Danio rerio: one gene and its partners. The protein of the gene in region 3 purifies or fractionates together with the protein of the main gene of each other region. This does not show direct contact. Links are inferred from orthologs where the notes say so. Each region holds a gene or a part of one and is shown on either strand. Other genes may lie near its edges.

The links. The genes of interacting proteins can lie anywhere in the genome.
Region 1: the proteins of wwox (region 3) and vopp1b purify together in Homo sapiens (affinity purification with mass spectrometry; 3 studies listed by BioGRID and IntAct, with this or other methods). This does not show direct contact. The link is inferred for Danio rerio from reciprocal best matches to the Homo sapiens genes WWOX and VOPP1.
Region 2: the proteins of wwox (region 3) and wbp2 purify together in Homo sapiens (affinity purification with mass spectrometry; 3 studies listed by BioGRID and IntAct, with this or other methods). This does not show direct contact. The link is inferred for Danio rerio from reciprocal best matches to the Homo sapiens genes WWOX and WBP2.

The regions. Positions count from the first base shown.
Region 1 is NC_133199.1:273,631-277,202, forward strand, and holds part of vopp1b (WW domain binding protein VOPP1), read right to left. Parts: exon of another isoform or gene 3,401-3,572; intron 2,117-3,400; coding exon 2,039-2,116; intron 1,814-2,038; exon of another isoform or gene 1,767-1,813; coding exon 1,633-1,766; intron 320-1,632; coding exon 111-319; 3' UTR 1-110. UniProt on the Homo sapiens protein: Increases the transcriptional activity of NFKB1 by facilitating its nuclear translocation, DNA-binding and associated apoptotic response, when overexpressed. May sequester WWOX in lysosomal vesicles and thereby regulate WWOX role as tumor suppressor.
Region 2 is NC_133187.1:47,462,575-47,466,146, reverse strand, and holds part of wbp2 (WW domain-binding protein 2), read right to left. Parts: intron 1,925-3,572; coding exon 1,832-1,924; intron 1,743-1,831; exon of another isoform or gene 1,738-1,742; coding exon 1,588-1,737; exon of another isoform or gene 1,515-1,587; intron 1,362-1,514; exon of another isoform or gene 1,340-1,361; coding exon 1,220-1,339; exon of another isoform or gene 1-1,219. UniProt on the Homo sapiens protein: Acts as a transcriptional coactivator of estrogen and progesterone receptors (ESR1 and PGR) upon hormone activation. In presence of estrogen, binds to ESR1-responsive promoters. Synergizes with YAP1 to enhance PGR activity.
Region 3 is NC_133200.1:39,782,507-39,786,078, forward strand, and holds part of wwox (WW domain-containing oxidoreductase), read right to left. Parts: intron 3,065-3,572; coding exon 2,895-3,064; intron 1-2,894. UniProt on the Homo sapiens protein: Putative oxidoreductase. Acts as a tumor suppressor and plays a role in apoptosis. Required for normal bone development. May function synergistically with p53/TP53 to control genotoxic stress-induced cell death.

The DNA.
Region 1 (3,572 bases), on a different chromosome or scaffold from region 3:
CCCGTTTCTCAAGCTTGGCCATGCATTTCCTCATATTTGCACAGATGAACTGAGTGTAAGTCCTCTCTGTAATGTTGCAGTGTGTCCTGCAGGTGTTTCAGCGTGGTTTCTCACTGCGGAGACTCGCTGCGGCTCTTCTTCTCTGCGCTACTGAACAGCTGATCATAGGCTGGCGGCGGGTGGTTGCAGTATGACGGCGGTGGAGGGTACGAGCTCATCATGGCCGCCGCAGGGCTCTGGCCGGAGTACACGGGAGTCAGAGACGCCCCCATCCCAACGCAGGGTTCCCCAAAACCCTGCATCACTGGCTGCTGAGACACTGGAGGAGGAGGAACAGCTTATTAATGCAAGACGAAGCACTGCAGAACTGTGAGTACACTTCAACATTATCCATGCAAGGTAGAGACGGTAGAGGAGGCGGGAAGGAGAGAGGATGGTAAGGAGGGAGGGAGGAAGGTAGTGGAGGAGGGAAGAGGAGAGGAAGGTAAGGAGGAAGGGAGATAAGGTGGGAGGAACAAAGAGAAAGAGGGAGGAAGGTAGGGAGGGTGCTAGAGTAGGAGAAAGATATGGAAGGACAATAAGAAGGTAGGTAGCAAAGGAGGGAGGAAGGTAGGGAGGGAAGAAAGGTAGCGGAGGAGAGAGAAAGGAGGGGGTGGAGGAAGATAGGAGAGAGGAAGGTAGGGAGTGAGGGAGGTAGGGAAGGAGGGAGAAAGGTAGGAAGGGGAGGAAGGTAGCGGAGGAGAGAGGAAAGAGGGAGTGAAGGAAGGAGGAAGGTAGGGGGGAGGAAGGGAGGTAGGAAAGGAGGGAGAAAGGTAGGAAGTGAAGGAGGGAGGTAGAAACGTAGGAAGGGAGGGAATGTGGGCAGAAGGGAGGCAAGTAGGCAGGAAGGTAGGGAAGTAGGGAGGAAGGTAGGGAAGTAGGGAGGAAGGTAGGGAAGTAGGGAGGAAGGTAGGGTAAAGAAGGCAGAGAATGGGAGGGTTGGGGTTTAGAGAAGTGGTTTGTCAAGCTCACTACTTTCCAACTTCTCTAGCTTTATTCCTCCCTCCCCCTTTTTTCTCCCTTTATCCCTCCCTCTTCACCTCCATCCTTCCCTACCTCCCTCCCTCCTTACCTCCCTCTCTCCCTCCTTACCTACCTCCCTCCCTCAGTCCCTCCTTACCTACCTCACTCCCTCCTTACCTCCCTCCCTACATACCTTACCTCCCTCTCTCCCTTCTTACCTACCTACCCACCTCCCTCTTTACCTACCTACCTCCCTCTCTTCTTACCAATCTCCCTCCCTACCTACCTATCTACCTTCTTACCTCCCTCCCACCCTACCTATCTACCTCCTTACCTTCCTCCCCACCTCCCTCCCTCACTGCCTTCCTGCCTCCTTCTCTACCTACTTGCCTCCTTCTCTATTCCCTTCTACCCTCCTTCCTGTTGGAGTAGACGTTAATAAAATACAATTTACTGGGTAATTTAATAGATAATATCAATAATTCTCATTAACTTCTGGCCGCTGCTGTATCTCTTCTAGCAACCTTATTTTCACATTCAAATGTCCGAATAAGCATCTGAATGGTGTTTAATGTGTGTTGAGTGTTTGTTGAGTGTGTGTTTAGTATGTGTGTGTGTGTGTGTTGGCACCAGGTGTGCTGACGGGTTGTCTGGTGAAGGACACATTGAAGGCGGGCTCGTCGCTCAGCACTGACGGATACATGCGCCTGCGAATGAAGAATCCAGCGCTGCAGCAGAAGAACACGCCCATCATCAGCAGCAGCCTATCAGAGAGCAGCAGTCATGAAGGACACGCCCACCACTAATTCAAGTACATATTTTCCATATTTCTGCTTTAAAATGTTACATTTGACATTTTAATAATAATTTAATCACACACAGATTAAAAACTGATGTATTTCTGAGTAAAATGAACCGTTTGCTGACCACTTCTCAGATTATTCCACTGTAATAAATGTAGGAGATGTAGTTAATGCAGGAAAATTTATAAATATCTAATACATTTAATGAATTATTTAATAAAAGTTGATCCTACCAGAAGTACCAGAGTCTCTGTATGGAGAGAGCCCTGATGCAGCAGCGGGTTCCACAGCAGTCCTCATATGAGCGGCATCTACACACACACACACACACACGCGCGCACACACACACACAATTGTAAATTGCTATAAATGAATCATCACGTGCTGGTTATTCTAACGTGTTATTATAATATTATCCTCTACAAACAGACTTCTGGCAGCGCTCCAGATGAGCTGATGAAGCTGGATTAAATACATTCAGTCCTGTTTTATTCAGCTTGCTGTGATTCTCATTTGCGGCCCTCATTCATTAAATGCTTCATAAGGTGCAGCAGGAACATTCTTCAAAACATCTCTCAGACTTCTCGGTCAATATATTTACTCAAGTTATTTCCTGTTTTGTTCATGTTCTCACAAAATGAGAAGTAATGATGAGATTGTGAGCTGATCTGACGTGTTTTGGTGGAGCAGGTCGGTTTGTGGTGCTGTGAACGTCCTCAAGGTGAACACGGCTTCATTAACCACTGAAGGTCTGTAATTAAAGCTCCTCATTAGCAGAAGAGCTTCAAAGTTTCTGCCCTTTAGTGTAATGAGCGTGACCGTCTGATATTTACAGCAACACTCTCTACACTGACGGAGCATGGCCGCATTAAAATTGACAAATAGAACAAGGCATAGGGGCGGCACTGTGGCCTCACAGCAAGAAGGTCGCTGGTTTGAGCACCCAGAGGAAACACACGCCAACACAGAGAGAACATGCAAACTCTACACAGAAACACCCACTAACCCAGCCGAGGCTCGAACCAGAGACCTTCTTGCTGTGAGGCCACAGCACTACCTACTGAGCCACTGCGTCGCCACCTTCGGAATATTATAGTAGTGTATTTAATTGTAATTATTTACTTTATCAAACTATATTAATGGTGTGTGTGTCCTAATTTATTAACGGATGCACATTGTGGGCACCAGAGGCATGTTAGAGAATCTGTGCAACACTGAATACACAATAATATATTAAGTTATTGTATTGTTGTTGTCTTATTTATTCTTTGTATTTGATGATCCTGTTTCAGAAATATTGATTAAATCAACATGAATACAGAGGGTACTCACTCACCATCTCAATCAGTTCTGAACTATTGAAGGGTTTTATTTTTATCCAGCAATAGTGAGGTTACACAGACATGTGCCAGATTTTGTGAATGTTTTATACAACATTTGTATTAGCAAACATATATCACATTGTTTCTGTGGGTTTTTACCTCATTTCTTCAGAGATAGTTACTGTCAGAGCCCTGCATTAGTGACCGTAATGTCTTATTTATCTTATATTGTTTTTGCTGTGTTCTTGCTGGCTGATCTGCTGCCACCTATAGGCCATTCTAGCCACTGCACTGCAGGAGAGTCGATCACAGCTGAAGCCAATCAGCTAGAGGCCTGCAGTGTGTACAGACAGCGTTCAAACGCTACTTTGGAGGACATTGAGCAAACTTTGTAAAGCAGTTTGATGTGGAACATGTTTTGGAAGCAAGAATGAAATTCAAGCAA
Region 2 (3,572 bases), on a different chromosome or scaffold from region 3:
AAATGTACACAATTACAGAATGTTTTTCCACCAGTCATAGGTTTTTACACGCATGTATTTAGTTTAATTTTGTATTAAAAACTATTTAATAGTTACAAAACTATGATGAAGTCATAAAATTATTTTTGATAACTGGAAAGGAATAGATATACTGATGGCCTGCTTCTCTGGGCTTTACTGGTGATAATGGTCAGGAATGTTGGACCATCATTTCCTTTTTAGCATAAGTAGAGGACAGAAACTAGCCAGACAGTAATGTGTGAATTGTGTATTTTTGTGTAACATCTGTATTTTTTAGTCAGTGTGCTTTTTTTTTGCTTTTATTTTTGCGATAATAAAACATTTATTTGTAGAGCGACTCAAGTTCTGTTGTCATTAATATTTTAATAAATTGTAATAGGTATAACTGTTCGAGATATAAACAAAAGCAAGTGATGACCAATAATAATTTGCTAGAAATAACAACAGCAGTGGGAAAGGAGGAAAGTTTATGCTAAAAAAATTGGAAAAACCTGAGGGATAAGTTTGTTTATGCCGAAAGAAATCATGGCAAAATTGAAGACTCAGGTATACAATTACAGAATATGTTTTTCCATCAGTCATAGCTTTTACACTAACGTATGTTTATGGATCGGGCTAAATCCAAAAAAAAATAAATCTGTATTTTTTTAGTAAGTGTACTTTTTATTTTTTGCTTTTATTCTTGCCATAATAAAGATATATTTGTAGAGGAACTCATGTTCTCTTGTGAAGCTTTAAAAAGTAAAACTGTCCGAGTTATGGACAAAAGCAAGTGATGCATTAAAGTTTGATTAAAAAAGACTTAAATGGTTATAAAAATGCTTATAATCATTAAAATACTTTATAAAAACAATACAAAATAATTAGTTTAAAAATATTGAACGACATTATGATATGACGTACTTCCAGAAACTTCTCTGTTTATTCGTCTGATTTTAGGGTGGGTTTCTTTTGACCGCCCCTGTCGTTTTAAAGATTATCACAACGGCGAACGCGGCGAGTATAAAAGCCTCATCCGTTTTGCGAGGTGCGCACGCAGTCAGCAAAGGTGCGCGATGCGGCGCCAGGCACAAGTATAATTCCAGCTTTAGAGCCACTTGAGTGCAAATAAATGGTAAACAAATTTCTTTTTTTGCGTGAACTATCCCTTTAAGAATCCGGCTGCAGAAGTTCAGCATCTTCTAGAAGTGGGTCATACCAGCAGCGGTTCTGGGCAGGTCTGGGTCGAGCGGAGCATGATCCACTGGAGCAGTGTATGGAGGAGGAGGCATGTAGGCTGCTGGTCCATCAAACACAGGAGGACTGGGGTAAAACCCACCTAAAGCACACAAAATAACATGGTAAGGAGGAGACTGTGAGGTTGTAATAATGCTCCCCAAACTCTTTTCACCATCTTTCAGAATGAAACACCAATTTTTCTACATCCAATCAGATCGCAGAAGAAAAAACAAGCCACGCCCACTGTTTGCTCGTTTAATATTCTGTTTTTCTAGGAACTGCGTCACAATTTGAAAGAAAAACGGTCGCAGCTTCCAGTTGATGTGGACTTTAAGTGCATGTTATTACCTGGAGGTGGAGGTCCAGGGTAGGCGTATCCAGGTGGAGGAGGCCCGGCAGGATACATGCCGTTAGCAGGAGGAGGTGGAGGAAAAGCGTACGCACCGTTCGCCATGTAAGGACAGCCGAAGTTTACAGTCACCGGTTGCCCTCTGGATGCTGAGGTAAAGAAAGAGAGGTCATGCACATCCACATCAGTTTGACTGCTTAATGATGAGACTCTTATTTTGAAACTGGTTGAGCACAAACGTACCCTGCTCTGCCACATGTAACATGCGCTGACCAAACTCGATCGCTCCTCCAGCGCTAAAGATCAGCTTGAAGGTTGCAGATCCTTCCCAACCACCTGGAACAATAATGCAAACACACTTGTATTTACAGTATATTTACAGTACATGCTATACTGTAGATCTGTTTACTTCCACACAAGTACATGTGTGCTTCCTTTTCATGTTCAGATTAACTCAAACCAGGACTCTACATTTGATTGAAATCAAAATTCAAGAAGAGTCTTGATCTGATTACTTTTGTCTGTTCACATGGTATACGAAACTGCCTTTTTTTACATTTTTTATTTTTAGTTAATTTATGTTTATTCAGGCGAGGCAGTGGCACAATAGGTAGTGCTGTCGCCTCACAGCAAGAAGGTCACTGGTTCGAACCTCGGCTCAGTTGACATTTCTGTGTGGAGTTTGCATGTTCTCCCTTCTTTCGCGTGGGTTTCCTCCGGGTGCTCCGGTTTCCCCCACAGTCCAAAGACATGCGGTACAGGTGCATTGGGTAGGCCAAGTTGTCCGTAGTGTATGAGTGTGTGTGTGTGGATGTTTCCCAGAGATGAGTTGCAGCTGGAGCGGCATCCGCTGCGCAAAACAAAATTGCTGGATAAGTTGGCGGTTCATTCCTCTGTGGCGACCCCGAATTAATAAAGGGACTAAGCCGACAAGAAAATGAATGAATGAATGAATGTATATTCATTCGTTCATTCATTTATTCAATCATTAATTTTCCTTCAGCTTAGTCCCTTATTTACCAGGGGTTGCTACAGCGGAATGAACCGCCAACTATTCCAGCATATGTTTTACACAGCGGATGCCCTTCCAGCCGCAGCCCAGAGCTGGGAAACACCCATACACTCTCACGTTCATACACTCAGACATTATGGCCAATTTAGTGGCCAATTCACCTATAGCACATGTGCTTGGACTGTGGGGGAAACAGGAGCACCCAGAGGAAACCCACACCAACACGGGGAGAACATGCAAACTACACACAGAAATGCCAACTGACCTAGCCAGAACTCAAACCACTGAGCCTCCGTGCCGCCCATTCACATTTTTAGTAGTTTTTTTATTTTTATTTAATATATATTATAATTTATATATAAATTATTTAATATTCTTTAATGTTTTCAATTTCTATTTAGCTTCATGTAAGCTTTTTTTGCACTTCAACTTTACATTTTTATTTAATCTTATTTATACTTAGTTGATCTTTTAACATTTAAGTTGTCTTTTATACGTACAATTAATAAACATTCATTTATCATTCATTTTCTTGTCGGCTTAGTCCCTTTATTAATCCAGGGTCGCCACAGTGGAATGAACCGCCAACTTATCAAGCACGTGTTTTACACAGCAGCTGCCCTTTCAACGGCAACTCATCTCTGGGAAACATCCATACACTCTCATTCACACTCAAACAGTTCGGACAATTTAGCCTACCCAATTTACCTGCAACGCATGTCTTTGGACTGTGGGGGAAACCAGAGTATGCGGAGGAAACCCACGCGAACACAGAGAGAACATGCAAACTCCACACAGAAACACCAACTGACCCAGCCGAGGCTCGAACCAGCAACCTTCTTGCTGTGAGCGACAGCACTCCCTACTGTGCCACTGCATCACCAATTAGTGAACATATTTTAATAAATGTTTTAGTACACTAAAAAATCTTGCTGATTTAACTTTTTAAGTTGAATCAAATGAACTTTTCTA
Region 3 (3,572 bases):
CCCGGATGTGTTCTTGATAGAGGACACACCGAAGCCGACTTGAGCACCGAACACGCTCTAGAAGTCCCAGAAGTCACTGGGTGGTGGGAAGCGCAGCATTTAATTTAAAGTCCTGAGGTAAATCAGTCATATCTCTGAAGTTTCCCCCTCAATGAAACGGTGAATATGAACATCAGCATAAACATCTTAATAAAGCAATAAACACATTAAGGTTGTTTGTTTGCTGAAATTTGTATTAAAATCAGTTTTATTTATATTGTGCGGAGTATATTTATAATGTTTTATGCACAGTATATATTGTGAAAAGGGGAAAAACAATCAATCGTTTAATGAAGGCTGTAATGTTTAAATAATTTTCCATTAAAAATATGTGAAGGTCATGTGACCATCAGGAAGAACGCAGCATCTCATTTCTCACAGGATGCGTTCTCGTGATCTCCCGTGTTCATTCTTCCGAGGACATCTGGCAAGACCGCTCTCCACAAGAACGCAAGTCCGTTCTCGGAATTGAGAAACAGTGTGTGAGAATGAGTGTGTATGGGTATTTTCCAGTACTGGGTTGCAGCTGGAAGTGCATCCACTGGGTAAAACATATGTTGGAATACGAACTACTGAAGCTGAAGGAAAATTAATGAATGAATATTAAAACATAATTAATATGCTTCCTCCATATCTACAATATCTGTCAACAAGCTTAAAACGAAGTTGAAATCTTATTTCCTTTTGAAATTTTGTAGGTTGAATTATGATTTTAGTGATGTTTTTCCCTTTTTGTTGGTGTTTATTTTACTCGTACAGCACCGTGCACAACTCATAAATGCATGAAATGAGTTTTAAAACATTACAAATAACACATCGCTTATGTTAATAGAATTATTGATATAAACGTTTGTTTATTGTTGCATATATATACACTATGGTTTATTTAAAATAAAATGCACAATTAAATAACAATAATATAAGGTTTAGATTCAGACAAGCAGAGTAATTTAAAATAATAAAGGAAAAATGTTATTCAGATATTTAGGATGTTACCTCGATATTTCAAATAAAGTCAGTTTTTTTGCACTGCACATGCTTGGGAAACAATGATATGTATTAGAAATCGACACTAATAAGCATGAAATATGGCGTAATTTAATTTATATTTTTTTTTAGATGCACACACACACACACACGTATAATTTAAGTGTTATTTTTTAAAACCAAACCAAAACATCTTGTTTGACTGAAATGTAAAAAAAAAAAAATTAAGAGTTTTTTTTTTAATGTATTATAAGGCAACAAAAAACTAAAATAAATAAGTTAACTAAAGTAACTCAATGCCGATTAATGTTTAAATAATTTTGTGAAATATTTGCAATGTTTGTCATAGGATAAAGCGCTTCTATTGGTGTGTTCAGCGATATTAGAGGGACAGTTTGTGTTTTTTTTCTCATGCATTTATTTATTTATTATTTATTATTTTCGACACACAGCGCTCCTCTGCCCTCTAGCGAACGCTCAGAGACACTACAGCCAGCGTTTCTGCATTGACCGGTCAGTGTTGAGCAAGTTTGTTTTAAAACTGTATAATAACATCATTAAAATTGCATTTAAATCACTTTTCTAATTGCCATGTCTGAAAACTTAATTACTGATTACTTGACTCCACTAACAATCCACAGTAATCTGAATGCATACAATAGAAATTAAACATGAAATTCTTTACGTCAATCATTAAAAACACTTAAGTTTTAAACAATGCACGTCTCAAAAAAAAAACATTTCTTTAAATTAACGACACCACAGTTCATACAAACTAGAGGTAATTTCTTAACATTTATATTCAAGACAGATTTTTAAGAATGTGCAGTGCAATTTACTTGAAAAACTGAGTTAACATGCTAATTACCTGAACAAACAAAACCTAAAAATATATACCTTTTTAATTAATCTGCTTTTCCTATTTTAAACCGTATATTGTCATGAATTAAACACATGCACTGAGTTCTTCTGCAAAATATATAACTCTGCTTCTCTGAATTGGTTCATGCAGAACTGTTGGCTTTCTGTGCAGTATTTAAAGCAAGTATATTATAAGTGACTAATTAAATTACCTTAAAACGAATATATATATATATATATATATATATATATATATATATATATATATATATATATATATATATATCAGGGCTCGAAATTGCGACAATTTTGGTCGCACATGCGCCCGAAATTTTATCTATGCCACCTTAAAATATATTTGGGAGCATTTCTGCGAGTGCATGAATGAAGATAACAATGTCAGGTTTAGTTTTAGAAACCATCTAGTTACAAATAATGAGACATCTTACTAGTGATCATGTGCTGAATGTTAATCCACCACCTACACTTTTCCAAGAGTCAAGCACTTTGGACAACGCTTGAACAAAATTTAAGACCTCGTAAAAACACAATCAAGACTTTATATCTTTTAACAGCCTTAATTTTCTCATGATTAATTGATCAACTTTCAATACTTTAAGACCCAGCGGACACCCTGGAAAGACAAACTATACAAAACACATGTGAATCAACAGCGGTCACACAGTTTAAGAAATAAAATTCACCACAAAAGCAGCATTTTTACACGTTAAATATACCTGCAATAATAATCATCCACATCTATAGACCTGATCCCTGACTGACTGATTAGAACTCAAGGAGTGAAAATCCTCAATCCTGCAGCTCCACCTGCTGGACAAACCCTGAAGCACAGCTCAGCCTCTTTGTGAATGCTTGTGTCTGTGTGCGTTTCGTCCTGCTTGTTTGTAATACTACATATTTCTGCTGTCTGGTGATCTGCAGTTCTTCTTTTATCTTGATCTGGATGAGAGTATCTGCTAAATGAATATGTGTTTTGTGACACTGACCGATGCCAGAGTTGGCTCCGGTGACGATGATGACCTTGTCGGACAGGTCCTGGCCATGCAGGATCTCCAGAGCGCCGGTGTTTCCGTCGTAGCGTTTAGGCTTCACCTGCATGTCCTCTACAGTGAAGGCCTGCCGAGGGTCGAAATACGTCTTACGCTTGTTGATGTGACTGAGGACAAGAGGGAAAGAGACATCAATAAAGTCAGATTATATCAATAAAATAGTATAAAAAAAATTATACTGGAGAGACATGGAAAAAAAACTATAGCTTGAGTCAAAGTTATTCATTGTCGTGTGAATTTCTTCAAATGTTTCCCAAATGATGTTGAACAGATTCAGGAATTTTTCACAGTATTTCCTATAATGTTTTTTTCTTCTGAAGAAAGTCTTAATTGTTTTTTTTTCCCGGCTAAAATTTAAGCAGTTTTTAATAGTTTTAAACCCATTTTAAAGGTTAAAATTATTTTATTTCAAATATTTTCCAACAGAGCTAGGATTTTTTTTTCCACAGTATTTGCCATTATATTTTTATTTCTAGTAAAAATCCTATTTCTTTCAGTTTGGCAGGATGTAATGTAATGTAATGTATTTTTTATTTAGTGCCATGTCAGCAACCAAGGCTATTTTCATGGCAGGAATCTTTCAACAATAAATATACAATTTAAAAATCAACAAAC